Danio rerio: one gene and its partners. The protein of the gene in region 1 interacts with the protein of each later gene in a pairwise test. Links are inferred from orthologs where the notes say so. Each region holds a gene or a part of one and is shown on either strand. Other genes may lie near its edges.

The links.
Region 2: the proteins of myod1 (region 1) and id2a interact in a two-hybrid assay, tested with the Homo sapiens proteins (2 studies listed by BioGRID). The link is inferred for Danio rerio from reciprocal best matches to the Homo sapiens genes MYOD1 and ID2.
Region 3: the proteins of myod1 (region 1) and id1 interact in a two-hybrid assay, tested with the Homo sapiens proteins (5 studies listed by BioGRID). The link is inferred for Danio rerio from reciprocal best matches to the Homo sapiens genes MYOD1 and ID1.

What each region holds. Positions count from the first base shown.
Region 1 is NC_133200.1:33,822,007-33,832,772, reverse strand, and holds myod1 (myoblast determination protein 1 homolog), read left to right. Parts: upstream 1-5,464; 5' UTR 5,465-5,643; coding exon 5,644-6,153; intron 6,154-6,440; coding exon 6,441-6,519; intron 6,520-6,701; coding exon 6,702-6,940; 3' UTR 6,941-7,671; downstream 7,672-10,766. Other genes in the region: zgc:172145 (Ferritin light chain, oocyte isoform-like), read left to right, coding at 1,717-2,010. UniProt on the Homo sapiens protein: Acts as a transcriptional activator that promotes transcription of muscle-specific target genes and plays a role in muscle differentiation. Together with MYF5 and MYOG, co-occupies muscle-specific gene promoter core region during myogenesis.
Region 2 is NC_133192.1:36,528,558-36,539,467, forward strand, and holds id2a (DNA-binding protein inhibitor ID-2a), read left to right. Parts: upstream 1-3,745; 5' UTR 3,746-3,812; coding exon 3,813-4,169; intron 4,170-4,528; coding exon 4,529-4,585; 3' UTR 4,586-4,589; intron 4,590-4,896; 3' UTR 4,897-5,916; downstream 5,917-10,910. UniProt on the Homo sapiens protein: Transcriptional regulator (lacking a basic DNA binding domain) which negatively regulates the basic helix-loop-helix (bHLH) transcription factors by forming heterodimers and inhibiting their DNA binding and transcriptional activity.
Region 3 is NC_133186.1:20,794,290-20,803,989, reverse strand, and holds id1 (DNA-binding protein inhibitor ID-1), read left to right. Parts: upstream 1-5,590; 5' UTR 5,591-5,702; coding exon 5,703-6,053; intron 6,054-6,160; coding exon 6,161-6,196; 3' UTR 6,197-6,699; downstream 6,700-9,700. UniProt on the Homo sapiens protein: Transcriptional regulator (lacking a basic DNA binding domain) which negatively regulates the basic helix-loop-helix (bHLH) transcription factors by forming heterodimers and inhibiting their DNA binding and transcriptional activity.

The DNA of each region.
Region 1 (10,766 bases):
AGTGTTTTAGAAGTGTTATTGCAGTGTAACAGCATGCAGAAGTATTATTGCACGACTACGCGCAAGACAGTTGCCGTGAGTCACTCCAATTACTCAACGCAGCAGTATAAACCAGCCTTTAAGATTAAAATACTGATAATAACATCTAAAAAAAAAAAGTTGTTGTAATTTCACTAGACCTTTAAATATATTTTTGTGTTCAGCAGAAGAAAGAAAAAAGGTTTAAAAGAGTAAATGATGATGAGAAAATTATTATCATTTGTTAATTTATTTATTTATTTATTTATTTTAGGTAAATTATGCCTTTAGGGTGCTTTCACACCTGTGAATCGATTCAGTTGTTCCGAAACAGAGATTACAAATGTTACATTGTTGCTCTGCTCTTGGAGCGGTTAGCTTTCACACTGCAAAGTTTCTTGGGGAGGGGGTGAGAAGGGTGCGCGACGATGCCTATTTGAGGAGCGGAAGGGAGACGCGAGATTACCGGGAGATCATCACTCGTTTGCGGGCATCCGGAGACTCGTGAAATTTCCCGCCATACTCATAATTCTCTCATTATATCGCCGTAAGCCTCTTACATATCCATAAAACACTGTGATATAACCGCGCTCGGATCGGATCGCTTTCTCACTGCAATCAAACCGCTCAAGGATTTGTTCCAATCGAGCCGAGACCACCTCATTCAAGCGATCTCGGAGCGATTACTTTGGCGCGGAACAGAGCGCGATTGCCCTGTTCACATATGCCAAACGAACCGCGCTAACTAGGCAAACGAGACACGTTCCGAAACAAAAGTGTAGGTGTGAAAGCACCCTTAAACATTAATTCATTCATTTTCAAGGGCTTAGTCCCTTTATTAATCTGGGGTCACCACAGCGGAATGAACCGCCAACTTATCCAGCATGTTTTTTTACGCAGCGGATGCCCTTCCAGTCGCAACCCATCTCTGGGAAACATCCACAAACACTCATTCACACACACTCATACACTATGGACAATTTACTCTACCAAGAAACGCCAACTGAGCCAAGGATCGAACCAGTGAGCTTCTTGCTGTGAGGCAACAGCACTACCTACTGCACCACTGCTTCGCCCTGCCTTTAAACAGTTGATGTCAAAATTATTACCCCTCTTGTGAAATATTTGTTCTTTTTAAAAAATATTTCTCAAGTGATATTTAATGGAGCAAAGATATTTTAACAGGATTTCCGATAATATTTTTCATCTAGAGAAAATGTTATATGTTTTATTTGGCTGGAACAAAAGCAGTTTTTAATTTTTTAAAAACCCATTTTAAGGTCAATATTATTAGCCCTCTCAAGCAATATTTTGTTTCGATTGTCTACAGAACAAAACTGCAGAAGTTAACCTAATTAACCTAGTTAAGTCTTTAAAATGCACTAAATATCAATACTAGTATCTAAAATATTAGGTACCATCATCATGGCAAAGATTAAAGAAATCAGTTATTAGAAATGAGTTATTAAAACTATTATATTTAGAAATTTGTTGAGAAAATCTTTGTTAAACAGAAATTGGGGGAAAACATATACAGGGAGGGCTAATAATTCAGGAGGGCTAACAATTCTGACTTCAACTGCACATTATGTAACACTTGCATTTATTGTGTTTGTTTATTGTACATTTTTACCAAGCAGCTGTTTTTTTTTTTTGAACTGATAACATTAGGTTGATGAATTGTGTGTTTGTGCACAGAGGCCCGGCACTGAACAGGTGTGTGCTGTCCTCCCTGCTCTGGAGATCATGCTTAACCAGTGGAAGGAGGAGATGAGTGTCATGCTGGAGATTAATCATCTGGCTCATGAGCACGACGATCCACACACTGCCAGTGTAATCAAAAGTCAGTTCATTGAACCCCTCGTCCAAAAGGTCAAGCTCGTAGGCGACCTCTTGACCAACGCTCGCAGAGTGGGCTGCACCGATGACAGCGCTGCTGGCTTTGGCGAGTTCCTCATCGACCAGCTACAAGAGAACCTGACGATTGCTTAGACTTGTGTTCATTTAGAAAGCATTACAGTATATATCCAATGAACAGCTTGAGAACCAATTTATTATTACTTGAAAAGTATTTAAAAGTGTCTACTATATTTTCCCGTATATTTACAGAAGACACTGACTGATATGTAACAGTAGTTCATATAAAGTTGAAGTCAGAATTATTAGCCCTCCTGAATTATTAGAATAATTTTTTCCTCAATTTCTGTTTAACGGAGAGAAGAAATTTTCCACACATTTCTAAACATAATAGTTTTAATAACTCATCTTTAATAGCTGATTTATTTTATTTTTGCCGTGATGACAGTACATAATATTTGACTAGACATTTTTCAAGACTCTTTTATACAGCTTAAAGTGACATTTAAAGGCTTAATTAGGTTAACTAGGCAAGTTATTGTTTAACGATGGTTTATTCTGTAGACTATTGAAAAAATATATAGCTTAAAGGGGCTGACAATTGAGACCTTAAAATTGTTTTAAAAACTTAACTTTTTATATCCGAAATAAAACAAATAAGGCTTTTTCTAGAAGAAATAATATTATCAGACATACTGTAACAATTCCCTTGATCTGTTAAACATCATTTGGAAAAAATAAAATCAAAGGGGGGGGGCAATAATTCTGATTTCAACTGTACCATATCGTATTTTCATGTATATTTACAACTGAACTAATTTCATGACATTTAAATGACTCCTTTATTTTATAATGTGTCATAGCACTGACCCCAATTAATGATTAATTTGCAAATTTGATCTATTTTTGCCTCTATCCTTCATATCAGTATGCTTTACCCAATTCTCACAAGATGCATTTTTGCTAAAGTTTTGCATTAATTAAAGGGATAGTTAATTAATTTTAATTGACTCACTAATTGCTCCCCCTTAAGTGGTTCCAAACATTTATGGGTTTCTTTCTTTAATGAACACGCTATTTTGTTGTACAAATACTGTTGAAGTCAGTTGTTACAAGTTTCAATGTTTCTTCAAAATATCTTCATTTGTGTTCAAAAGCAAACAGTCAGACAACTTTGGAACATGTCCCTTTAAAGTAAACACTTTAATTTGTACTAAAGCTGTATAAATAAAATATATAAATAATCATTTCATGTGCGCACCAAAATGGCACATCTTGTTTTGACCTATGTAACAAGTCCCTCCAAATGTAAATACTATTTAAATGGCACTTTTTAATGCTAATAAAGTTACTGTGCCTTTCGTAATCGAAAGTCAAATTAAAGTTTAAATTTAATTGTTATATTTACATACAGTGCTCAGCATATATAAGTACACCCCTCACAAATCTATCTTTTAAATTCATATTTTTAATAAGAAGCTATATTTTAATATTAATATAATATTATATTTGTGCATATACATTAGATTAGTCAGTGCTGAAGCCAAATCTAGACTTTATTTAACAAAATAACTTATGATAATGGTCCAAAAACTAGTACACTCAAATTTATGTTATAGAAAAAGATAACACTTTATTTTGATGGTCCATTTAAGGATTAGTTGACTGCTTAATATGTTGATACTGCTTCTTCAACAGACATTTAACTGACTATAAGAAACGTTGCAAGTACATGTCAACTTATACTAACCCTAAACCTAACAGTCTACTGCTAATCTATTGAGAATCAGTTGACATGTAGATGCAATGTAACATATATTCAACAAACAGACAATCAAAACAAATTGTGACCTAGAAAAATATTAAATACAAATTTAGAAAAGAGGAAAAATCAGGTGAAGCTAAAATAAAAAAAAAAAATTAATAAATAAATAATGAGTTGGTTGTACCTTTTTTGCAATAATTTGCTTGAATTTAATTGTATTTTATTTTAATTTCTAAATATATTTGGTGACTAAAATGCTATTTTAATAAATAAATCTGTTTAATACATTTTGTTTTGTTTAAATGCACCAAAATACATTGCCAGTATTTACTGTGAAATTGATAAAAATATTCATTTTCGAGATAGGGTGTATTAACTGTATTGTGTGACTGATTTTATTCTGCACCGGTTTTAATAAACATGTTTACATGCCATTTTGTATTTTCTATTAACCCTGTTTTTTTTAACACTATAAAATGAAACAGGGAATTTTATTTTTTATATAATTGTGTCGGTTTTTCAATTATTACTTTGCTGTAGTTGTTATTCAATACATATTTAAATGTATTTTTTATTATATAAAACATTTTGCTGATCCAACTTCAGCAGCATGGATTCTGGCTAAAGACGTATTTGGGGCTTTTGAACAAAATAGTAATTTCATCTGGCTCTTTAACGCCCCCTTTTGTTGGACTGTTATTGAGACTGTCAAGCAGCCAGTGTAAAGAAGGCTAAATAAAGTTGGCCGCATTAAGAATAAATTCTTAAATACATTTTCTTTACCTGATAGACTGATCGTGGTAAATAACCAAATACATTAATCATAAAGTGTCCATTCACTCTCAGAAATAAAGGTACAGGAGCTGTCACTGGGGCAGTACCTTTGCAAAAGATACATACTTGTGCCCAAAGAATCCACAATGGTACCTCAAATGGGGCATATTAGTACGCAAATGTACTTAAAACGCACCCATGAGATACCATTATAAAGCCTTCAAGTGCAAATTTGTACCTTTTGAAAATGTACTGTGACAGCTCATGTTTTTTCTGAGATTGTTGGAAAATAAAATTGAAATGTAATTGCGATTTCTTTACTAAATTATATACGTTTAATGTTGGCTTAATGTAGTTTTCCTTCAGTGTTTCATTAAAATATTTCATACCTAAATTGATCAAGCAATCTTTATCTGTACATTTTGAACACCATGAACTGAAAAGCATGCATAATGTTATTCTGAATTTTTAAACGTGTGAATGTGCGTGTGTATTTAAAAGTAGCTAATTATTGCTCACATTTGTTTGACATTTTCAATGCCGCGCTATGAGGGAAAAACATCCATAAAACAATAAAAACAAAACTAATAATAATTAAAACAACATTTTAAATGTTTGCATTCTCGTATTATTTCTGTTACAAATATATTAGACTTATCAAATTCAGCACTAGTAAATTATACAATTAGAAAATGTATTAATTAGAAATTAGAAACCAATTGGTTGTTTTTTCCATTAACAAGCAAAGTTAAAAGCAAAGCTCATGCTTGAATTTATTTGTAAAGTTGAAATTTGATGGAAAATAAACAAGTAGGCCTAAATGTTAATTTGGTATACAAGCAAATAAAACTTCTATTATTTCTAAGGGAATTTATCATTCTTACATTTTTATAACACAATCATTAGCATCATGCTGTCAAAATCACGCCCCCTTGTTATCGCACATGTTCATTGGTCAGTCTGTCATCTGTAGGACCTCCCCCGACAAGCTGGTGTGTTTATTATCAGGCCCTGATCTCTTACCAGCAACAAGTACCTGAGGGGTACATGCAAAGAAACCCTCCGAGGTCCTGCGAATTTTAGACTGTAGTTTTGAAACGTACGTTATTTCGGGATCTGAAGGACTTTGTCTTACTATTCCTAATTTTGGTTTTTATTTTTTTTACAAATTTACTACTTTGGAAACATTCAAGTACATTTCTTGCTTTTTAAACTTTAACACAAAAAAGATGGAGTTGTCGGATATCCCCTTCCCCATCCCATCAGCTGATGACTTCTACGACGACCCTTGCTTCAACACCAACGACATGCACTTCTTTGAAGACTTGGACCCCAGGCTTGTTCACGTGAGCCTGCTCAAACCCGACGAGCATCACCACATCGAGGACGAGCACGTGAGGGCGCCCAGTGGGCATCATCAGGCCGGCAGGTGCCTACTGTGGGCATGCAAAGCTTGCAAGAGAAAAACTACCAATGCTGACCGTCGCAAAGCCGCCACCATGAGGGAGAGGAGGCGACTGAGCAAGGTCAACGACGCTTTCGAGACCCTCAAGAGATGCACGTCCACCAACCCGAACCAGAGGCTGCCCAAAGTGGAGATTCTGAGAAACGCCATTAGTTATATCGAGTCTCTGCAGGCTCTTCTCAGAAGTCAAGAGGATAACTACTATCCCGTTCTGGAACATTACAGTGGAGACTCTGATGCTTCCAGTCCGAGATCCAACTGCTCTGATGGCATGGTGAGAAACTTATTTTATATACTGAGGCTTTTACATACTATAGCTACAGTATAATTGTGATGTCGCTAAGCCATAAGTCGTTTAGTGTTTACTTGGACAAATAAACTTGGACTTGTTTTTTTGCACTGATTTTGTAATTTAGGATAATTCAGCAACATTATTTTTCAACATTTAAGAGAAAGATGGGAATAATTAAAGATCGCTTGTAAATATTTTATCTCTTGTGTTTGCTGATTTAATTTTCTTTTCAATATAAATATAGATTAAAGTGTCTTTTCGTTTCCCAGATGGATTTTATGGGCCCAACGTGTCAGACGAGAAGACGGAACAGCTATGACAGCTCTTACTTCAATGACACACCAAATGGTAAGTTTGCTCGAAAAATAAAATAAAATAAGTTGGCTGAAAAAATGTTTAACTGTTATGCAAAGTTAAACTATTCTTTTGGATTGAGTTTAAAAGTAAACTATTATGTTTCTAAATTCTCATAGACTAATTTTATTTGAGTTAAAAAAATAAAAATCTTTCTGTTTGTTTGTTTTTTCTAGCTGACGCACGGAATAATAAAAACTCAGTGGTGTCGAGTTTGGATTGTCTGTCCAGCATCGTGGAGCGAATTTCCACAGAGACTCCTGCATGTCCCGTGCTGTCAGTACCGGAGGGGCACGAAGAGAGCCCGTGTTCTCCGCATGAGGGATCTGTCCTGAGTGACACCGGAACCACCGCACCGTCCCCGACCAGCTGCCCTCAACAGCAGGCTCAGGAAACCATTTATCAAGTGCTTTAAAATTCTGCAACATTTCAAAACAAATTGAAAAAGACAATCTGAATGAAGAAACTTTCAGCAGAAAAAGGCGAATCCGACCTTTAACGACAAAAGAAAGACTTTTGATCCACTGCTGGAAACTAGGAAAGAATGCTTTCTTTCTTTCTTTCTTTCTTTCTTTCTTTCTTTCTTTCTTTCTTTCTTTCTTTCTTTCTTTCTTTCTTTCTTTCTTTCTTTCATAGACTAATTCTTTTTTTCTTTCTTTCTTTCTTTCTTTCTTTCTTTCTTTCTTTCTTTTTTTCTTTCTTTCTTTCTTTCTTTCTTTCTTTCTTTCTTTCTTTCTTTCTTTCTTTCTTTCTTTATGCGGTGGAAAATGTAATTCCAATATGAGAAAAGACTCAGCAGATCAGCAGAAGTGAGTTTCTTAACTAAGCTTATTTATATTGTTATATCCACGTGAAAATGTGACCATATTTTTTTCCCTTTGTGAATATATTTTCTGTCACCATCACCTTTTATTTTCCTAATTATTTACGGAAAAAATCGTAATCCAGATACGAATAGTAGGACCATTTTTGTATATGTGTAAATAAGATCTGTTTTGTTAAAGCGACGAAAACGAACAAACATATTATTGTATTTAATGATGCCTGTTTGAAACACTAGTTTGTTGTGTCTTGTGTTAAACTTTATATTTATACTTCTTAAACGAGTGAATGACGGATAAATAAAAACAACTATTTATACTGGAATATCTATGTGATTTGTTGTGATTTATTGGATGTATAAACATTTAGCCTACTGTACACGTGATATATCAATTTGTTGAAATCAAATCGGTTTAGCGTTACACAATAAACAGGCCTGTACAATTTAGATTTATTTATACCTTATTTCACGAGGTTGTAGCTAAAAGTGATATCACAATAAAAAAAAAGTACGCAATTGAAAAATAAGATTATAATCGTTTACATGTTGTTCTGAAACCATTCGAGTTGCAAGAACAATTTAATGCTCCTCAGTATTTGTTTGATTATTATTGCATCTGAATCAAAATAATTTAATCAACTAGCCTTTTATTACAACACAAAAAGGTGTAATAGATTTTTATTTATGTTGAACTGAAGGGAATAGGCATTTTCAAAGAAAATGAAATGCTTGGTCTCTCTTTTTTACATTTCGATGCTTAACCATTTTCATAAAATGATTACGCGTCAAGCAGCATGAATATGTTTAATTCAAATATACAGACCTTTATATTGCACTAACTAAAGTACCAAACGTATGTTTTCGCTGTGATAAAATAGCAGAGCCATTTTAAAAACAATTCTATGAGGTTTATGAACATTTGCAAAATATAAATATTACCACTTTCATTATAAAGAAACTTTTTTTTATTGAAAGTTCTCACAGATTTAGATCTAAAGGTTCTTTACGGATGCATATACAGATTTTGATGATGATGATAATAATAATAATGATAATAATAATAGGATGGTGTAAAAATCTTTCTTTTTAGAAAGTGCCCTTTTTAAATTTAGATGGAAAAAGTTTTAACACCCATGGATTGCCTTTACAAGTCTGTTCATTCAATTCAGACTTTTGAAAGGTTTACTACTATTTTTAATGTAGAATCTTAAAGTTCTTTTGAGAAATCCATTATGTGCAATTAATAGAATTGTATTGTATTGCATGCAAAAACCTTCAGGTTCATAATGCTACCTTCATTAGTCTATACTTATAAAATGTCGCGTAGGATTTTAGACAAAAATGAATTATGATTTTAATGAAAATTGTTCATTTATCGATTATTTTATGAAAACCCTTCCATGCCACTTGGACAAATAATACATTTTAATACATTGCAAGACTTACGATATTAAGCCAATAGCACCATCTTGTGTAGTGAGCTTTACGCATTATAACACTGTCACTGACTTGGGAAAACAAAGTAGCCTAACTATATTTGCCTGTTTTTTATTTATTAATTATTATTATTAATTTGTTTATTTTGCTGTTCTAACCCACACAACTTAGCCTATACCCTCAATGATCAGACTATTAAATATTTAAAAAATATATTCAAAAGAAGACGCAAGTTGATGCAGCAACACAATTTTACACAATTAAGAGAGAGAGAGAGAGAGAGAGAGAGAGAGAGAGAGAATCTTCTCGATATATATACTGTATAAATAACTTTACATGCTTTTATTGTATATCATACGGTATATGCCATGTCTACAATTAATGAAGATTAATGAGTTTATTTTTCCCAGTGATGGGTTGCAGCTGGAAGGGCATCCACTGTGTAAAAATGTGCTGGATAAGTTGGCGGTTTATTCCACTGTGGCGACCCTGGATTAATAAAGGGACTAAGCCGAAAAGAAAATGAATGAAAGAATAATGAGTTTATTAATAACCCAAACAAATGAACAAACTGAACAAAAGGGATTACTATATACACACTCACTATACCTAATAATATCATTTTATCCATATTACTTTTTGAGCCATTTTATTAATGCAGCTTCTTCTATTGATATACTGGACCTTAAGGTAAATATTAAATAGCCATTGCTGTCTATTGAATGTGCGTACTGTCAACGACGATCGGAGAGGGTAGTGGCGGTTCTAGTTTAAATGACACCCTGGGCGAACCACCCTATACACCACACCTCCCTTGAATTGTTAGATTTGTTATTCAATAAATATAACAATTTATTTATATTTATTTTATTATTATTTATATACAATTATTATTCTGAATAAATAACAGAAATCAGTCCTAAATATTACTGGAAAACAACAACTGGGGTGATATGCCAAGATCACTTAAGAAAACTTTTGCATGAAAATTAATTATGACAATTCTAAAGAAAACAAAAAATGTATTATAGAATTATCTGTGGTCTTAGACCAGATCATGGCTGAGAACTCATGTTATGAAGTCTTACCTCCCTGACTCATTATCCCTCCTTTCTGCTTTAAAGGCATGCTTAGTGAAAGTAACATCATCATCATCATCATCATATTATATAAACTTTAGTCGACTTTCACCTCTGAACAAAAGGCTGTTACTTCGTTTCACGGCGCATGAGCGGCGCGTATTTTGTCGGCGTGCATGCAAACAACCAACCGGGATTCACACAGGAGTGCGTAAGGCGCGCGGGAATTGTTTTCTGCGCGCATGCGTCAGTTTGCTTTCACCAGCATTCACCATTAAACCAGCACTAAGGGTGAGAGACAATGAATCAGCTACGTCTGTAACACCAACAATAATTTAGTGGCTGCATTTTATTTATTTAAACATTTGGGATTTATAAGTACATTTAATGTCAACAGCAAAATTATATTGGGGTGGCCACAGGGGTGGCCAGAGTTTACCGAGGGGTGGCCGTGGCCACCCCTGGCCACCCCTTGGGGGCGCCCCTGTCGTCGAGATTTTCTAAACCTATTCTCGATGCAGCATCAACACATATTAACATACAGTGCATGGAATATGGTGCATTGGTGTTGGAATTAGAAAGAAAAGGGGAAAGACAACATCTAAAAACAAAAAAAAGGTTTATTGACTTTGAGTTATGAAGAAAAGTCCCTAATGAAAACTAACTATGGTTAAAAAAAAGTTATTGTAGTTAAAGTATGGTAACCATAAATAAAACATGATGTCACACTATTGTTTAGCAAACCTCTGATTATACAAATGGTAGGCTAATCAGCCCGTCGTTTTTTACAATAATAAAACCATGGTTAATGATCGTAAGGCTTTCACACTTTATTTACATGGCATATAAAGGAACTGGTTGAAGATGAGAAAGAGTGGGTTGATCAATGTCGGGTTGTGTAG
Region 2 (10,910 bases), on another chromosome or scaffold:
GTTAGCTGAATTATATGTGAAAGCATGTCTTTGTCACATTGCCAAATAGCTTTAACAAAAAAATGACATATCTGAATTTCAAGCTTTTATTGTTTGTTAAAACCTAAAAAAAATTAGCTAAAATAAAGCAACGGATAAAGAAAACATCATACAGGCCTTTCTAAATTTCTCACTGACAGAATTAGGCTTACCCTTTCAGTATTGTTTCTATTATTTGACAGATTGTTTGACAGCAAAAGGGAGAGTGTGTTAATGCTCTGTTGTGTAAACCCAAACAGCTGCACTACATTGCGCAAGCCAGAAAGACACACGAGTTTTGAACTGCAACATTTCTCAGGACCCTCTTTTGGGAGGCGAACAATAGCTTAAGCCAAACATCAACGCCACGCCCATGGGGTCGATGTTGCTACAAGAGTCGCGAGCCACACTTTCACGCGTGTACTGCTGCACGCGACAGGCGCGTGGGAGCCCTCAAAGCCACTGCCGGGAGCTGAAACCACAGCCGAGCGAACGACGAAACCATTACAAGCGTCCGGACATCTAAAGCCTATTTAAATACGCGTTTTAGGTGACTCGAGCAGAAATGTTTTGTTTTGTCCCACGTATTATCGGGAAGTTTTATGTGAGAGTTTATCCTATCGCGGATTTTAATGAAAGCGACGCGTTTAATGTTTAAAACGTTTAAAATGTAGTCGTTCGCACAAAATTTCGTCAAAACGCGCATGACTTTGAGAATCTTCCGCGGAACTAAATGTGTTGCTGCTTCACCTGTAGATAGCATATTATATAGGTGTATTTAAGTTATACGTCGATGTTTGATAAAGTCATCAAAGGAAGTTCGGTTCGACTTTTCGGAACGCGGATATCAAAGAAAAGGTTGCGTCATGTTTCAGCAGTTTGGAATTTAAAGCCGTTCGAAAAGAACATCGTCATAATACGCACGACTTCAGATTTATTTTGGATAACTATCTTTTAACTTGGCTAGTAGATCCGTATATTTATGTTATACTTCGATGTTTTTAACATTGACATCAATATCGTAAATATATGGGTAAGATGTGATTCTTTGGGATTTGGTGTCTGAAGAGCCGGAGACGGGAGGAATTGTGCAGCTGCAGTGAGCTGGAACAGCAGAGGAGGCGGTGCAGACATCTCGACTCCATCCCGTGGAGAACTTGTCAACTTTCTGCCAACTTTAGATTGTTTTCTTGCCATTTTTATTGTTAGCTTTTTGTCAGGAGACAGAAACGTAAACGTAACTCTAAAGCCGATTTATGAATAAAGTCATGTTCTGCTGGAGCTTGTAGGCTACATCAGAAGTGTGAGCTTTTGCTTATTAATCCGCTTTGACACTGAACAAGTTTGTTTTTTGTCACTTTCAAGGCGCACGCTGTCGATTCGTTTCGAGAAACCAAACTTTTTAACTTAGGCCTTTATAACATAGACTATTAACTTTTTTAAACTTGATCCCACAGACCAGCTTCTATTATTAGGTAAACTTGTCAATCTATAATCGATATTAGGTCAGATGAGCGGCTGCTGTTAATGTTTAAGCTTCATCGTGCAAACGTGATGCAACAAAACTTCTTAATAAATACTGGCGTGATTTTATAAACTGTTTATCCACAGTACTTTTGAAATTCTACAGCCTTTTTCGACTTTCAAAACCCACCACAATTCGCAATTCGTGTCGTTTCGCACGAGCTTTCTCCGAATGACCCATTTAAACGAAGACGCTCCTCCTTTTATCCATAATAATGCATGACTAACTGGAAATACGTTCTACCTCGGGCGCATATTGAGATAAAGTTGAGGTAACTTGAGGTTGCATTAGCTACGTTTCAAAGTCTAGATTGTTTCGAAAGGGCGAGGAGTCCTCCAAGTGAAACGTAAGCAAAGAAATGCAAATGGATGCAGGTGTGCGGGCCTCGGAGCGCAGGAGAGCTGAGGTGACGAGCTGAACTCCGATCTCTCCGCGCTCGGCCCCATTGATCAGCTGAGGACCGGCGCTAACTAACTGGCCCCGTCTCCATAGCAGCCGCCTGGACGGCGCCGCGAGGACTGGCTGGAGGGCCGCTGTCAATGGGTGACGTCACGGGGCTGGCGCCAGAGAGTCTGCGAGAGCGTGAGCTCGCGGCGCTGCTCTGTAGTGCTGCTTTGCTTGGTGCCAATTCATCACCTGTCAGGGATCAGTCAGGGTGTCATGCGAAATGTACACAGCTGTGAGAACAAAAAGGGCGAGGGAGAAAATGGAAAAAGCCAGTTGCGGCAGATGCGGACGAGTTCACGATACTATTTCTTATGCGTCGTCGTGTTTGTAAGTGTCGCGCGCGCGGAAATAATGGTTCGTTGTTGTAGCAGAGGTTTAAAAAAAAACAGAATAAGAAATGTAAAAGCGTACAAAATGCTTTGTCGTGAAAATCGTTTTTTGAGGAGTGATAATGAGGTGCATTCCGATACATCAACACGACTGCATTCCGACGCATCTCCGCAAACATCTGTTTAGTCGGATATGCACAAGCAACCAGGAAATCTCTCCGTCTCCATTGTTACTTAGCATGTGTAAACAAAGAGCGTTTTTGTCACCACTATCGCTTTCTGAACTCACTGTGGGTTTCTAAAACATGGAAATATAATCTGTAGCAGGGTGACATATTCTTCACGGTCTTAAGAATGCGTTTTCACTTCAGCAGCAGTTTTAGGACAGAATTGTTTTCTCAGTCAAGTATTTTCATGACTATCAATATGCTGCAAGCATGCCTGCACTAGAGAGCAGGGGGAACTCGTCATCACTATTACATCTCAAAACGATCCTCATCACAGGCCATAAAGACTGCTCTCATGTTCCCCCACAGTCATGATGTGTGTAAACAAACATAAACATTAAGGGCACGCTATCAACGACAGAAAGCACAAACTTCAACTGCTGGTGCATCATTTTGATTTGCATCGTAAACGCAATAAAGAAACGCCACTCATCTTAATTTGACATGTTTTCTGTGTTCTAAATTAATGAATAAATATAGAATATATTAAAGACAAAATACAGAATCGCTGGAACTATAAGGTCAAGTGACTTGGTGTAAAAACCGCTGGGCATCTTTATCTAAAATCATGGCACTTTGCCAAAATAATGCCACTGACCTGAAGGTAAAAGTTGAAATCTTTAACACAGAGTTTACACGAGGAAATACAAGACTATTTGAACTGAAACATGTCGAATACATTATGTTCGGTTGGTTTAATGTTAACCGCAGATTGTATGAATCATACGCTGCATAATATTGCTAATACATAAATGCAACAATCCGTTTTCGTTTTACATACTTAGTATGTAGCATATTGTATGTTGAGTGTTCTGGAAATTCAATATAAATAATCCTAAAGCTAACGTTTTGGCACGTTATGACAATTACACTACAAACAAATGCGTGAAAACAACCTTATACTTGCAACTCACTAATTCTCCTGATCGGAAACAGGTACACTGATTTGAGAAATTATCCGTGGAAGCTGAAGGCAGTCAGCGCCACCCTAAACACGCGCTTTCACTGGTCAAGAACGCGGAAGAAATGGGCGGATCTTTGTCGCTCGGCCCAGCAGCCAATAGCGTAACGCGAAGGCGATGAGTGACTCGGCCTTCTCCACCAATCAGCACGTCGCAAACCAGCGAGTGAACAAACCCACCCAGCTGGGTATATATACAGCGATGACAGCTCGCTAATCCACTGCGTTTGCTTCAACAGCCCAGCGCGAACAGGGAATCTCGAACACAAAAAGGCGAGTCTTTTCAACGAAATCCTGCTGTCAACATGAAGGCAATAAGCCCAGTGAGGTCCTTCCGGAAAAGTAGCGCGAGTGTAACGACGACGGAGCACAGTCTGGGAATCTCGCGGAGCAAGACCCCCGTGGACGATCCTCTCAGCCTGCTCTACAACATGAACGACTGCTACTCCAAACTGAAGGAACTGGTGCCGAGCATCCCGCAGAACAAAAACGTGAGCAAAATGGAAATCCTCCAGCATGTCATCGACTATATTCTGGACCTGCAGATCGCGCTCGACTCCAATTCGGCGATAACCAGCCTGCATCACCCGCGAGCGGGGCAGGGGACATCCAGAACACCCCTGACAACACTCAACACAGACATCAGCATCCTCTCACTACAGGTGAATCACCGCCTACTCAATTATCTATCTATCTATCTATCTATCTATCTATCTATCTATCTATCTATCTATCTATCTATCTATCTATCTATCTATCTATCTATCTATCTATCTATCTATCTATCTATCTATCTATCTATCTATCTATCTATCTATCTATCTATCTATCTATCTATCTATCTATCTATCTATCTATCTATCTATCTATCTATCTATCTATCTATCTATCTATCTATCTATCTATCTATCTATCTATCTATCTATCTATCTATCTATCTATCTATCTATCTATCTATCTATCTATCTATCGTGTTGCATGCTTATTGACCTCTAATAACAAGGCTGTTTTGTTTTTCTAGACACCTGAGTTTCCATCAGACTTGATCACAGAGGACAGCAGGACACTTTACCGTTAATCAGGTAAGTTTTCTTGAAAATACAATGTTTTTATGTGTTTTTAATTTTTCTATTAAATGACAAGTATTTGATGCAGAGGGTTTAGTTGAGGAGCAGTGTGCATGTGTGAAGTTGCAGAAAGTGTGTTGACTTTGCAAAAGCGAAGGCAGAAGTTGTGTACTGGTGTACATCTGGAGCCCAGGGTTTTTTCGCTCAGTCTCTGAGTGTTTGGTTAAATGTTCAAACTGCGGCTTCCTCTCTGGCGCCAGGCTGTCCGGATCTCTGCCCTGTTTGCATTCTCTAAATGCGCCTCTTTCTCAATCTTTTGCAGGTGTTTGGTTAAGACACAAGAACACACAGGACCTGGGAACTGGCTTTTCCTCTGATTTCTGTTCTCAGTCTGGAGTTTTTTTTTCTTCTTTTCTTTCCTGTAATTGAATCAAGAGACTTTCTTTTTTTCCTCCTTCTCAAAGGACAATCCATGTGATGTGTTATGAGTTCGGACATTGATTATTTATCTTCTAAAAAGACTTTCTTCAAGAGGAAGAAGCACTATATTCCCTGAAAATAGGAGGGAAACCTGTAAATGATCACAAGGAACCTTTTCTCTGCATTGAGAAGAAGTCTTACCTTTTTTTTTTCTCGTGAAGAGCGGCGTGTGAATGAGAAGATGTGGTTAGTTATTGTACAAAGATTTAAGTCTGTTTTTTTCCTGTCAATTCTTTTGGCACATGAAGGACTGGACTTTTGAAAAAAAATAACGTGATGAAACCTTGTGAACTCTCTCTCTCTGAGTTTTATCCTGTATAGTTGCAGAAATTGGACTGCCGGTATCTGCAAAGTGTTATGCTGTATGCTGAGACTTTTTATAAAAGTAATATTGTAAATTGTACCTTTTTTTTTATACAAAATAAATCAAATGCTTTATTTGACGCTTGATTACTTTAAATGTCGATATATGTGCAGCATAGTGACCTTGCCTTTTATATCCAGGACTCTGAAGCATGTCACTGACCCTTCAAACTTGCACATTCGCCCAAGGAATGTTCTATTGAATCTTTCACATTGCTATATTGATTTGTGAAAAGCATTTGTTCCAGTTTCTAATGGGTCAGAAGGTGCTTTATCCTACTATATACATGTATAGCTATTCAACACTCTCAAAGCCTGAAAGATTCGATTGCGGTTTAATCTTACTCTGGTGAAACTTCTTTAAGTCAAACATTAATCATGAGTGTATCCACAAGTTCTCTCACTCGTATAATCTGCTATGCATGAAGCGGCAGTTAAAATGAGAGCTTGAGAATCTGTGGAATTCTGTTGTTAAAATAAATGATTTTCTGTAGGTTTATTATGGTGTGAAATAATAACTCTGAGCTAGCAGATTGATTTCATACTAATCACTTCTTACAATCAGTTTTTAGAGCCTTCTAGACTATGCAAGTGAAGCTGGTGCCATCTTAGTTTTAGTGACATGAGACATAAGAAATGACACTGTAAAAAAAAAATATGATCAATTGGTCATGACAACATGTTTTTATCTCATTCTAACTTATTAATCCAAGCTAATCATGTTCTAACTTAATTGTACAAATTACGCAAGCTGTTTTAAGTCAGTTTAACATAAAATAAATTCAATGGACTCAGGGTTATTTTATTGGTTCAGCTTGATTTAAGGCAACCAGGATTTTTTTTACAGTGTAGTTTCCATTGTGTGTAGGGAGTAATGCAACATGTGAAGGGGGTCTTTTTGTATGATTTTTGTTAAACTTATTTAACAATAGAAACAAGATTATAATGCTTTGCGAAAAATATTTATATTCCATATATCGATGCAAAGTGTGCATATCTAAAATTAAAGGTTGTGTCTGACATGCAGCTTAAACCACTAGTGGTGTTGTTGATATGAATAGTGCGCCACCTGCTGGTAGCCAGACCTAATCTTTAAAAAAAAAAAAAAAAAACTTCATGTATTCATTTAAAGAAAATGTGCAGTTAAAGTCAGAATTATTAGGCCGTTTATTTTTTTCCCTCAATTTCTGTTTAACGGAGAGATTTCTAAAGATAATAGTTTTAATAACTAATAACTGATTTATTTTATCTTTGCCATGATGACAGTAAATGATCATTTACTAGTTATTTTTCAAGACACTTATATACAGCTTAAAGTGACATTTAAAGGCTTAATTAGGTTAACAAGTCAGGTTAGGGTAATTAGACATTGTACAACACAATGTTCTGTAGACTATTGAAAAAGAAATAGCATAAAGGGCCTCATATTGTTCCCCTAATTTTTTTTTATTATTAAAAACTGCTTTTATTCTAGCTGAAAAGACTTTCTCCAGAAGAAAAAAATATTATCAAACATACTGTGAAAATTTCCTTGCTCTGTGATGTATTTAGCGTATATGTCCTGATCATTTGAGAAATCTAAAAAAAAACAAAACTGTTTATGTATTTATATAAATAAAGGAACATATGTGTGAATTGAATTAAGATAATTTAGTGTCCGGTTTATCAGCGTACACTATTAAAATACAACTAAAACTATAGGTTTTTGATCAATTAGTCCTGACAGCATATGTTTTAGGTCAAATGTGCTACGTTAATCATGTTCAAATTTAATTTTTATAAGTTAGTTTTACGTCTGTTTAACATAAAATAAGTTCAATAGACTCATAGGGTTCATTTCATTCAGCTTAAAAAGTTAAGGCAACTACATTTTTTTTTACAGTGTACAAACATATGCAACAAAAAAAAGTAAAATATGATTAAAGTGTCTGAATTTTATTTTGAAATATTTCATGCGTCATAAAATCAAACTCGTATTCAAAAGGGCTGAAAACAGTTTTAATGATTTGAGAAAACCAGACCAAACACTGAGGCAATTGGCCATACACAAATCACACTTTTCAAGAAACCTCTCTATCTCTTATAACACTGATCACTCATCTACAGCACTACAAACTCCAGAGGACAAACACAGGGATGACCTGAAGATGAACCGGACATTAAATCACCAATCAATAACGATGATCACAGCACTATGTAAGTGTGGCTAAATCCTCACTCTACTTGATAGGTTTGAATTTTGCGGACGGGCCTATGCTAGATCTTTAATGTTAGCAACGGAGCGTGAAATAACAGGATTTGCACTAAACACGTCAGAAACTATCAACAGCTTCACAGCCTCTGTTTATATTGCTTTTTTAAAGCAACACTAAAGCAACAATAATCACGTTTCTCACACTTTTAAACTGCTTCTTCTTCATCTGTATTTTGACTTTGTTTTACAGTTTAAAATATCCAAACATCAAGATAAATCCATGAACAAAAATAAATCAAGAATGAAAAAGGAGGAGATGTAGTATGTTTTAACAATAAACCTACTCCATATACTAAATGAAATCTATTATTCTAGGCTATTATTGATGTACAAGTACACCATTACGCTATACTGCCAAATAACGCTCATGTACATTTCTTCAAATGTTAAAATGTTCATAGAGGAAAAAAATAAACAATAACCTAAATTAATGTAGCAAAAGCATTTGTTAATTTTCCATTATCTTGAATGTTTCAAATCATTTATTCATTCAGCTTAAGTCCCTTATTTATCAGGGGTTGCCACAGCGGAATGAACCACCAACTATTCCCCCATGTTTTACACAGCAGATGCCCTTCCAGCAGCAACAAAGCTTTAAATCATATAAATTATATTCAACTTTTCCATAGCTAACACGTGTCAGTTTCTTTTTTTACGGATATCTCAATATTTCTTACGCAAAACAAAGCATAAACACTGATTAAGAGATTTTGCAGTGAATCTATCCATGTAAAGAATCTAACCACACAAAATTCAACACAGAAAAAATGAGAAGTAACTCGGCTTCAAGTTTACTTCATGTTTTATAGTAATCTCAAACCTTTCCAGTTATTTACCCTTCAGAAGTAAAAAAGCAGGTGTGTTCAGTTCTGTTCCTGAAGATCTTGCAAAGTTCAGCTCAACCCTGATCAAATACACCTGAATAAGCTGAACAACAGTGTCTAACTTTGACACGAGTGCAGACGAAAGACATTAAGAATGAAAAAAACGTTAACAGTGATTCTGTCCTGACTAGATGTGGCATAAAGTGAGCGACAAATCTTCATAGTCTCATTCTGTTTACGGATATAAAGGACATATAATTGGTTTGACCCGTGTTACGACCTCTATTTCAGGCGTAGGTTTGGTCCCTGAGAGCTGCAGTGCAGCAGAGTTTTGCTCTAATCCTAATCAAACACACCAGAACAGGCTAATCAAGTTCTGAGGGCTACTACATTGAGTTCCACACGACACAATTCCTTCATGTTTTCTGAAGACAAATCTATTAAGTTAACTTAACTGTTGTTAGAAATGTAGGTAGATTTAACATAAAACGTTTTTTTTTTTTACTTTAATTGCTTTGTTTAAACTCTGAACAAGCAGCAAAATCATCGTAGAAAGCTACAGGCAGGTGAGATCTTATCAAGGCTGGACTAAAACTCTGCAGGACATCGTTTCTTAGGGTGCAAACCTGCCTTACCTTACTGTAACTGTTGCAACAATAAAACAACAGGTATGTCTAGTGTTTACACAGTGTCAGATCTTCAGAAGTACTCAATCATTTAGAGGTGAACTGTAGGAAGGTTGCGTATCCTCGAGTTGAAATGATTAGTTCACTTCCAGAATATGAATTTCCTGATCATTTACTCTTTTTTTTTTTCTTTTCTTTTCACAATGGATAAATGATCCCAGAGAAGGAATAAGGGTCTTTTATAGTGAAATGATGGGTCATACTTTTTTTTTTTTAACCACAAACGTTTGATTAGCTCTGGTTAAAACATTAAATTCTGACTGTGTTATTGAGTAAGTAGCTTATTCCTCATTCTGGATCATTAAGAGCTTTTTGGAACTGTATTGAAAACTAAATATGGAGGTTCAAACCTGAGCACCAGAAGTCAAAAATGGTGGGTTGCACAAAATCAATTTGTGTTGGGACAACGTGAAGATATTGAGTTAACCTATTGGTTTTTACAAATTTAAGTGGATTAAACAAAAAACAATTAAGTTGTCCCCAAAAACACTCAAGAATTGAGTTGTTTCAGTTTGTTTTAAAGAAATTTGAACAAACAGTGAGCGCTTTTTTTGAGTGTTTATGGAAAATGTTTTTCTCAAAATCCTTAATTTTCTTTCAACGGAAGAAAGAGGGAAATAGTCAGATCTTGAAATACATAGGGAAGCGAGTAAATTATCAGATAAATGAAAATTCTGGAAGTAAACTATTTCGAGCTGTGGCTAAAAATCATTTGAGATATTGATTCTGCATTGATTCTGTGCTTAGTTTCTAACAGTATATAGCGGTCTATAATAAAATAAATAATAATTAAAAATAAAGTAAGGTATGGTGGCTAAGAGCTTAATGTGCTGCAATTTAAGAAAACACGTGCAATTACAAAAAACCCAGCAACTTGAGAAAAAAATCTTTAGTTTGACAACACACTGCCAATCGTCACAACGCAAACACATTAAAAAAAAAAAAAAAAAAGTGCTGCATTTTCTAACAACAGAAACAAATTAATAAAACACGCTGCATTTTTTCACAACGCAAACATTCTCACAACACAATGGAATTGTTTTAAGGAGATCCTACAATGTGACGAACCTAGCTATTTAGGTCATTGTTATTTAAGTATTAATAAATACTAGACATGCGAATCAGGATTTTAAAAAAAACAAAAAAACTCACCTTTCAAAGATCATCTTCACTAAGCAATAGTCACAGCACAGCAGCATCCATCACTTTTTTTAGGTCCCTTTCAAACATTTCCATTGTGTTCTGTTCTTTTTGTGTTGTGAAAAATTGCAGTGCAATTTTGTAAATTGTTTGCGTTGTGGGAAAATGCAGCAAGATTTTGTAAATTGTTTGCGTTGAGGGAAAATGCAGCGCAATTTTGTAAATTGTTTGCGTCGAGGGAAAATGCAGCGCGATTTTGTAAATTGTTTGCGTCGAGGGAAAATGCAGCGCGATTTTGTAAACTGTTTGCGTTGAGGGAAAATGCAGCGCGATTTTGTAAATTGTTTGCGTCGAGGGAAAATGCAGCGCAATTTTGTAAATTGTTTGCGTTGAGGGAAAATGCAGTGCGATTTTGTAAACTGTTTGCGTTGAGGGAAAATGCAGCGCAATTTTGTAAATTGTTTGCGTTGAGGGAAAATGCAGCGCAATTTTGTAAATTGTTTGCGTCGAGGGAAAATGCAGCGCGATTTTGTAAATTGTTTGCGTCGAGGGAAAATGCAGCGCGATTTTGTAAATTGTTTGCGTCGAG
Region 3 (9,700 bases), on another chromosome or scaffold:
ATAATATTACTATTATTTTATAATAATATTACTGAAATTATTTAAAAACTGAATAAATATAAATGTGCTACATTTACACAAGTAAATACGCAGTCTCATTGATGGGCTAAAAATCTACGGAAATCTGAGTGCACAGATTCCGTGTGGGCCTACTCATCAGCTCAAATATGACTACCATTGGTAGGTTAGAGCCCCAGACAGAATCTGCAGACATTTTTTGAGATTTTTCTGCGGAATTTTGTTATAAATCTACGGATTTATGCAGAATGATTTTAGGAGTATCATAACTAAAACCTTAATATATGAAATAAAATGTAATACCTTTTTACTTTTATTTAATTTTTAAAATGCAAATCCAATTAGATCCACTTTATTTGGTAAACAAAGCAAGTCTCTCATATAATATATCTACTAAAAGACAGAAATTATTATTTTACAAACTGCATTGTAAATAAATCATATGAACATTTTCATATTAGACAATAATATTACTGAAATTGATTGAAAAAATAAATAAATTTAAATTTACACACATTTACACAAGTAAATAAACAGAATCGATGGGCTAAAAACCTGCGGATTTCTGCATGCGCAGATTCTGTGTAGGTATAGTTATCGGTTGAAGTTCCAGGCAATGCTTTAACTGCAGTGTTCCTACTCTTTTATAGACAACAAATTCAAGAACTTTTAAGGACTTTTAAAAAATTCCTAATATACTAATATTATAAATATATATTACTAATATTACTAATATTATTAACATTTCACATACACCTAATATTTATTTTAAAGTTTCATAATGATGATGTTTTGAATGTTGTTAAAACTGAACGCTTAAAACAACTTATTTAAATTCATGTACAAAGAACCGTAATATCATTTGTTGAATTCAAAACTATTCAATTGCGGTTTCTGAAGTATTGATAAAATGCATTACTTGTCATAGTTCATGTATAAGGTTTAAATTTAAGAATTTTAAATTAAGAAGTTCTGTTTCTGTTTTTTCGTTCAGTTTTTGAAAGCAGCACAGTACAATTGTTAAAATAACACATACAACTTTAAATTCAAGAACTTTCACTGACCTATGTTTGTTTTTAAGTACTTTCCAGGGCATAAAATCAAGTACAATGTAAAAAAAAAACACTTCTTGCTGCCTTAAATATTTTAGTTAAATCAAATGAACTTTTCTAGTCATCTTAACTTACATCCATCAAACTGACTAATAAAAATGAAGTAAAACTTTGTATACCTTAAAAGTTGAAACCTGATTAACTTATTATTTAAAGCAACATAGGGCAGCACAGTGGCGCAGTGGGTAGCACAAGTGAGTAGCACAAACTCGCAGCAAAAAGGTCGCTGGTTCAAGCCTCGGCTGAGTCAGTTGGTGTTTCTGTGTGAAGTTTGCATGTTCTCCCCGTGTTCATGTGGGTTTCCTCCAGGTGCTCCAGTTTCCCCCTTCAGTCCAAAGACATGTGGTACAGGTGAATTGAATAAATTAATTGGCCGTAGTTTATGTGTGTGAATGTAAGAGTGTATGGGTGTTTCCCAGTGTTGGGTTGCAGCTGGAAGGGCATCTGCTGCGTAAAGCTTATGCTGGATAAGTTGGCGGTTTATTCCTCAGTGACGACCCCAGATTAATAAAGGGACTAAGCTAAAAAGAAAATGAATGAATGAATGAATAAAGCAGCATAAAAAGATTTGTTGCCTTGACTTTTTGTCATTAAATTTTTAAAGTGTACTGTCAAGAAGCGAGGGAACCCGGAAACTCAAATGTATACCTTAAAATAATAACTACAAATGTAACAACTTTGTATTTCAATTGGCACCAGGCCTTGCTGATTATCAAAACAACATCCATAAGCAAACTTGCATTTATTCATAGCCTCATTCTAATATTTTATGGCCAACATCCAATCAATTCCCACTGGATGCATTCAATTCCCACACTACATTTTTTCCTCATTACTCAGTATCAGAAATATGTCATGTTACGGAAGTCAAACGTGTCGTGAAAAGCTATTCAGGTTGATTTTATGTCATAGTATGACTCACAGAAGCTAATTAGGTCTGTTCCTAGTGAACTGCATTGTCTTATTGCACTTTGCATTGAACACTTCCCTTCTGTGTCTGCAGCTTTGTGTCGCTGTGATGTTGTGAATTAAAGACTTCACAGCCAGCTGATGACACAGCACAGAACACTGCAGCCTTGTCAGACAGCGATCACATGACTTCTGACAGGATGCGATTCCCTCGAGGACAATTATCTGAGGCCACTCTTCCCATGAGAGGGAAAAGTCAAAGATGCATGCAGATGCTACAAGAAAAAGACGAGTATTCACACCAGCCGCACCAGCTTTTTCCTGCTCTCTGACATATTGTGAGAAACAACTAGTCAGGTCAGAGTGTAATCGGGACAAGAACTATATGGTTTCTGTAATTTAGTTCATCAGTTAAGCTGCATTTACAAATATAAACAAACAAATGAAAGAATAAATGAATGATTTCTGTGTTCTAGTTGAGTATATTGAATAAAATTATGTTCTATTACATCTAAATTCACGTTATTTCAATATATTATTTGTATACTGCAATGATAAATATAATAAAAATAAAAAGTTTCCTTGTTATACGGGTATCTAAAAGTTCATTTTAAATATGTAAATATGCAGTATTGTCTACTGCAACTATAGGCACAAATTATGAATGAATAATTTAATTAATTATTCTATCCTGGTCTTAAACCATTGGCAGAGCTGAATAACTTTCTATAATTGGTCTTACAGTATATGCAAAATAAATTATTGAATGGTCCTGTACAAAAACCATAGGCTCACTTGATGCACATCACATATGTTTTACTGAACAAATAAGTAAGGAGTGGTTGTTGTCCAGTGGCCAGCATATGAGGTAATTGAGCAATAAAGCATATATAATTTGTAACTTTTTCCTTTGAACGTCCTTTCTCTGCTTCTAGGAATATGTTTTATATTTTACCAGAGTTCATAAGGGTGTGTGAGTGTGTGTAAGGGGGATGTTACACTCTTTGCCTCTCTTTGCCTTGATGTGCAGTAAACAGGCTTTGGAGAGCCCAGCTGTGAGGGCTTATTGTTGGAGTCGGTAGGAAGTGCTGATAGCTTGCGCAGCTGAACAAAAGCGGGATGAGCGAGTGGAGGGGCGCTCCAGACTCGTCGGCTCCAGCCGAGATTCTCTCTCACAGTCCCGATACTGCACTCCCATTGTTCAGCTCCTCCTCCGCCTCCCCTCAACCCCGCTCAGCTGTGACCGAGCCAGAAACGCTCCAGTCCCTCGCGCTCCTGCCTGCAGGATGCAGAGCTATGCACTCGCTCAAAACAACGTGCACAAATCCATGCACGCGCATTTAGATTTTATTTTAAGTGTTAAAAAAATAATAATAATTGTCGTTGCACATTGCGAGTTATCAGTGTTTTATCATTTTCTTGTCACAAAATTGCTTCTTTTTCATTTTGACCTATTTAATTATGCATGTTATAATGTTTATTTTTATTTAAAACATTATATGCAACAGATTTGTATAAAAAAATAACGTTAATTTACCAATTATTATATTTAATTAATACTTAGTGTATTTTTAAATAAAGTTTAGCATTTAAAAATAATTAGCATTCGCCTTATTTTTATACAATAAAATAAAAGCATTGCTGGAATCTAAAAAAAAGCCCCTCCGGCTCAATAGCCCTTTTTCACTTTGTCTCTCACTTTTTGTGTCTTTACAAGAGTCTTTCGGGACGACAATGGCAGTTTGCAGGTGCGCGGAGCGGTAATCGCATCAGAGGTTTTAAGTGATAAATGAGCGCTGACCAGTTTGTTCTCAGGATTCCGCAGCGCGCAGGTGAATGGGGGAGAGTGGAGGGATGCCAGCCTGTTGTTTGTTGTTGCTATAGGGACCGCCCGCTCGGCGCCAGGCTGACAGGCGTCAAGGCTCGAATGAATGGGTGACGTCACGGCGCTGGCGCCCGGCAGTCTGCTTCGGTTTGTTTGGACAATCTGGGGGAAGAATCAGAGCACAGCAATGCAAAGTTATGCGAGTGCGCGCTCAAGGCGACGCGCACATATGAAGGAATTTGGAAGTTTGCGCGAGGAAACGCATTTAAAGAAAGACAAAGAGACCATCATTGAAGGAAAATAAACAGATTTGAATAAAAATGAGCTTCCCAGCACAATAGAATAAAGCTCCAGTCTACAAGTAATGCACTTACTGTAGGATAATAGACTATGAATACTTTATGTGCATGCACAACAGTTAAAAGCACACTAAAATGTATTGCATTGTGTACAGAAACAGATCCCTCTTTTGCAGTGATGTCAGAAGAACTTTTTGTAAAAAACATTACACTCTAAACACTTACCTTCCTCTAAAAAAAACTTATGTGCAATGGTAAGATTTTATGGATGTTAAAGATTAAATAAGCATTACAAATAAAGTTTGACCACTGCTCCTTTTTAACAATCTGTAGTTTTTTAAACTATCTGCACACATACTTTGATAAAATACTCATTTCTAGTCAAATATTTTATTTTTAATGCATTATTTTGAAAGCTTGTCAGGCAAATCAAAATCTGTATGACAAACATGCATGAAGCCATTTTGTTATCATGTGACAAGAAAATAATAACCACAGGATTGCATTAGATACTTTAAAACTTTTGTTTGGGTTTATGAGATGAAAACATTATATTCAACATGCATTACAGTATACATAATATAAGTATAAAGTGTCCTCTTTCTCTGTTTTGCTTACTTGATATTTGCATTATGGACACAATAAAATAATTCACAGAGTGAATTTATTTAGACAGTCATGAGTTAAGATCTCTAAGAAACCTTTTATGATGTTGTTTTCTGGTTTGTTTAATAGGGAATGAAGTATAACGTTTGATTGTTTATGTTTGAAATCTACATTTGAATTAGCTACACTCATGTGATGAAAATAATAAACAGACAGAATTCTTTTAGATTCAGTGTTTAAAGGGGGTTGTGATGTATTGTTTATAGTTTGTTTAAAATGATGTTCCCTCAACTTATGAATACCCCGCATCCACCTCCCCAATAAATCATAACATTTTTATAAATGTTAGGTCATGGTGCCATCATGTCCACTCACATGTGTTCAGGGTGCAGTTAACTCAGCAATGACAGATATATTTGCAACAAGCTGAATGGATGGAAACAGAGATGCTGATGGAACATTTTACAGTATGCTTTGTTTCTCGCAGCAGCCCACATACGAAGAAAAGCTTGTTTCATTTGAAAGTAATAACTGTTGCCTGTTGATCGTCGAGCACCCCCACCCTCCCCTTGATCTGTCTGCTTCACCTGTGGAGTAAACGGACAGCTGGATCTCCACACATCATCCGCAGAAGACACACATTTGTTTCCATTTGTAACACCATCCCCCCGAGCATATTGAAACTGCGATAACAGAGCCGTGCCTTCATTGGCTGAGCGAGGGACTCCGCAAAAATCCTATTGGCCCGTTCCCGCAAACACGAGTGTTTGGTGACGCCCCCAAGCCCGGAGACCCTTTAAATAACGAACAGCTCAGCCTCTGAGAGCATGTGGTGAACTGTCATCGCACTATCGACAACTCAACAAGCCTTTAAAAGGAGTACGAGCACCTCGCTTCAGCTATTCCTCTTTGACTTACTCGCAAATAGCCAAAATGAAAGTTGTGGGACCTACCTGCGCGCTGAAGAGCAGCAAAGTTGGAGGAGAGGATGTTGTCCGCTGCCTCTCCGATCAGAGCTTGGCCATCTCCAAATGCAAGATCCCGCTGCTGGACGAGCAGATGACCATGTTTCTCCAAGACATGAACAGCTGCTACAGCAAACTGAAGGAGCTGGTGCCCACGCTACCGACCAACAAGAAAGCCAGCAAGATGGAGATTCTCCAGCATGTCATCGATTACATCTGGGACTTGCAGGTCGAGCTGGAGAGCAAGAAGAACCAGAGCTCCGCTCCCCGCACTCCGCTCACAACACTCAACGCGGAGCTAGCCAGCATCTCTGTGGAGGTAAATATCGCACATGCTTAAGATATAATGCTTGCGTCTCTATATGCATATCAATAATGTTTGTCTGAACGACCCAACTCACTATGTTCCCTCTTTTTGTCTTGCAGAACGGCTGTTCAGATGACCGGATCATGTGCCGTTAAAGCAGATACTCCCGGTGGCTTCACGTCAACAGATCATCGAAGCATCGTGATCACGGTGCGCTGAGGTGAACGAACAAACAAACCCCGATGGACCAGTGACGCCGTGAACTGTGTCGGGAGAGTCTCATTCTCCTGTTGTAGAGGAAACAAACTTTCAGTAGAGAGTCACACAAATCTGTGGACATGACAAGCGTGACGTGCTCTCTCCTTCTCTGAGATCTCTCCCCGGACACACACCGATACGCGTGTGTGTTTGTGTCTGTGTTTAGCTGTGGAATCCATGGCGATTATTCACTTACTGTTCATGCATTTCCCTCTCGGTCAAAGTTTCTCCAATGTTTTTGTAACTTTTTAGAAAAAAATACTATTTTGTTGTCAGATTTCTCAGATTACTGAGCGAAAGAATGTATTGTATATTACAATGCCATATGATGTGAACGCTTTATTGTGTTTTTTACAATGTATATTGTGTTTTTTTTATTAAAACATGAAAATCAAACTTATCTTGGAGTTGTTGATCAATTTTGTGAGTGAATGGAGCCGATTGAGAATTCTGTTATTGGGAGTCTTTTATGCTTTATTATCTAGTAGTTGTAGGCTTAATAAACGTTTAACTGTAACATGTTGTAATCATGTCACTACATAATTGTTAATTTAGGGTGGCCTGTATTTAGCCTGACGTCTATCGTTACAGATCAGTTTTATGAGTTCTCACTTTACACTTTTGTCATTGGTGATTACACTGAAACTAAACTTAGCCTATCAGTACAGCTTTTCACTGCAGAACCAAATTAGCAGTTTTAAGTCACTAACTACACAAATAAAAATTGTTCATGATATAATTGAATAAACCTGATATAAAAGGAGAAGTTTTAACTTTAAATTTTAAAGATGTTACATTAGAAAAAAGGTAACAGTGTTAATTAACTTTCCAAGCCCAAAATATTGTTTAACATTACAAGATCGGTCTAAACACGGTTAATTTAAACCAATACAACTCAATAATTAGGGTAAAATAATGAATATCCAATAGGCTATATGAAACATTCATCACATTTCACAGGGAGTCTGAATTCAAAAATATGAGTTTAATGAGAATGATTAAACTTCAATATATCATTTAATCTTGCTAAAATCATTGCTGAAACAAATAAACATACCTATTTAAACTATTACAATTCACAACATATATACTAATTAAAACTATCAAAAACGGCAAGTTAGTTTATCTACAACTGTTTAATCTTAATATATTTTTGTAAAATTAAAACGAGTTTACCTTGACATTACTATAATTTAAAAGAAAATTCACATGGAAAAGTCTGCAGCTAGGCCTATATGACAGATAGCCTAACTAATATCATCAAAAAGAGGGAAAACTAATTAAATAATTAGGCTTTAATTTGTTAGAGACTCATCAGAAGTTATTTTTAACTACAGTGACACTCGTTAACAGTTTTAAAAGTCTTATTCTAGGCTTATTTTGTGCATCTCTGTATTTCAATGGCGGGTAGCGGAAGGGTTAAGTGTTTTCCGAGAAAAAGGCAGTTCGTTATAAGATTTATTCCGTCTCCCTGGTGCAATGTTTTTCTCATTTCCCTGCGGTGTGATGCGCGCAGCTGCAGGCCTCGCGATGTGCGGCTCGGCCAGTGTGTGTGATTGTGTTTGTGTGATCGCTTTGTGCCAAGGGCAGGGGAGGGCGCAGACTGAACGGCGCCGCCGCACACCTGGGGAAGTTCAGGTTAAATCGCTCCACATTCCTCGGCACACAGCTGATTGAAACATTAACAAACAGTAATCCGCAAGCCCGGGCTGCAGATGGGCCGGGAACACGGCCAAGGAACTCTCACTCCCTCTGTATAGTTTCCCACATACTACAACGAGAGCTTCTTTTAATAAGAACTTAGCGCATTTAAACATAGCGCCACACACTGCAGCCAACTTTCCCACTAACATCAACTCAAACTCAACGGCAAAACAAAAGACAATGGGGACATGCTGTTTCCAGGCCATTGCGAGATACTTGAAATGAATTGTGGTTATAAAGAGTGTTCCCACCCTAAATTAAAGCAATTTCATGTTAACTAAGTGGCGTTTAGCCTAGCTTGTGTATTTGTGTACTGTGTGTTAGCCTACACCAACTACGAGACGGTTTTGACCGAAATATGATGGATATTCTGTAAGAAACCCCAATTTTTAGAAAATTCTTATGCGGGTTGTTTTTATTGGATGATACTTACGATTTATTAATGATGAGGTGGATAAATGGAGTCACTTTTTGTCAAAGAGGAAACTAGTTTTGTTAGTTGAGGCCGGACAGTTTAGCGTCTAGCGCCCTTCTGTGGTCACACGGCGAAGCTTGTTTTTTCAGACAAAGTTTTTCAGACTTGTTTTTTGACGAGATTTTACGTTAATATATTTCTTAATATACGTTTTTGTACCATAAACTTCATAAAAACAACACTTGAGTTGTTTATATTTTAAACAGATTTAGACATTTACGGTCCTAGCGCGAGGACACGGTAATTAGGCCAATTTTTGATTGTTTTTGAATCATGGATTTACTTCAAATACAACCAAATGGTAACCACAAAATAGCTCTATTGTATATAGTTTATCAATAGTATATTTATATTATTTTATCTGTTTAGTTAACAGGGACATTGTACATTAATGAAACATTTCTAAACGTACCAGAATTAGCCAAATGCTATTTTTCATCTGTAGGTTAGTTCCTGGACAATATGTTAAAAGTCATCCTAAAGAAAATGTAATTAAAATACATAAAAAATAAAACACACAATTCATTTAAAATAAAAAAATAAATACAAAGTGACCAAGAGACCTAAAGGTCAAATACAATGTAACGTTAAAATAAAACGCTGGTTTTCACACAATTCCTTCATCCTGTCCCAACACAAATCGAGTAAGCTAAATAATTTTTTTTTACTAATTCAAGTTGATTGAGCGTAAAAACAATTAAGCTATTATAAAAAAATCTCAATATTTGTGTTGAAACAGCTCATTATAAATAATTACTCTGAACAAGCAGTTTTTTTTTTTTTTTTGAGTGTACAGGGTTTTAATGTTGACACAACCGAGTGAATAACCATAATTTTAATGTAACCTTAAATACTTAATTTCTATATCTTCAACAGTAGTTGGTAAAACATTCCATTCTTGTGTAGCTTTTATGGAAAATGAGAACTAACTAAGATTAATCTAATATTGACTAACTGATTGAGAGGGAGTGTTTATACAGTTACTGCATTTTTTTACTATTTGCCGTAAAAGTATAATTATAATAGCCAATCTTAAAGAAAAAAGCCTACAGTAACTTTATAATAAAACATATCTACCTACAATACTCTCAAACAGAGCCTATTTGTTTCTGTAGCCTGAAAATGACTTTTAAAATAGCCCCCCGAATGTCAAGTCTGAAGACATCAATCTGGCCCTCACAAACTCCAAACACAAGATTTAACAGAATTCATTTGTTTTTAT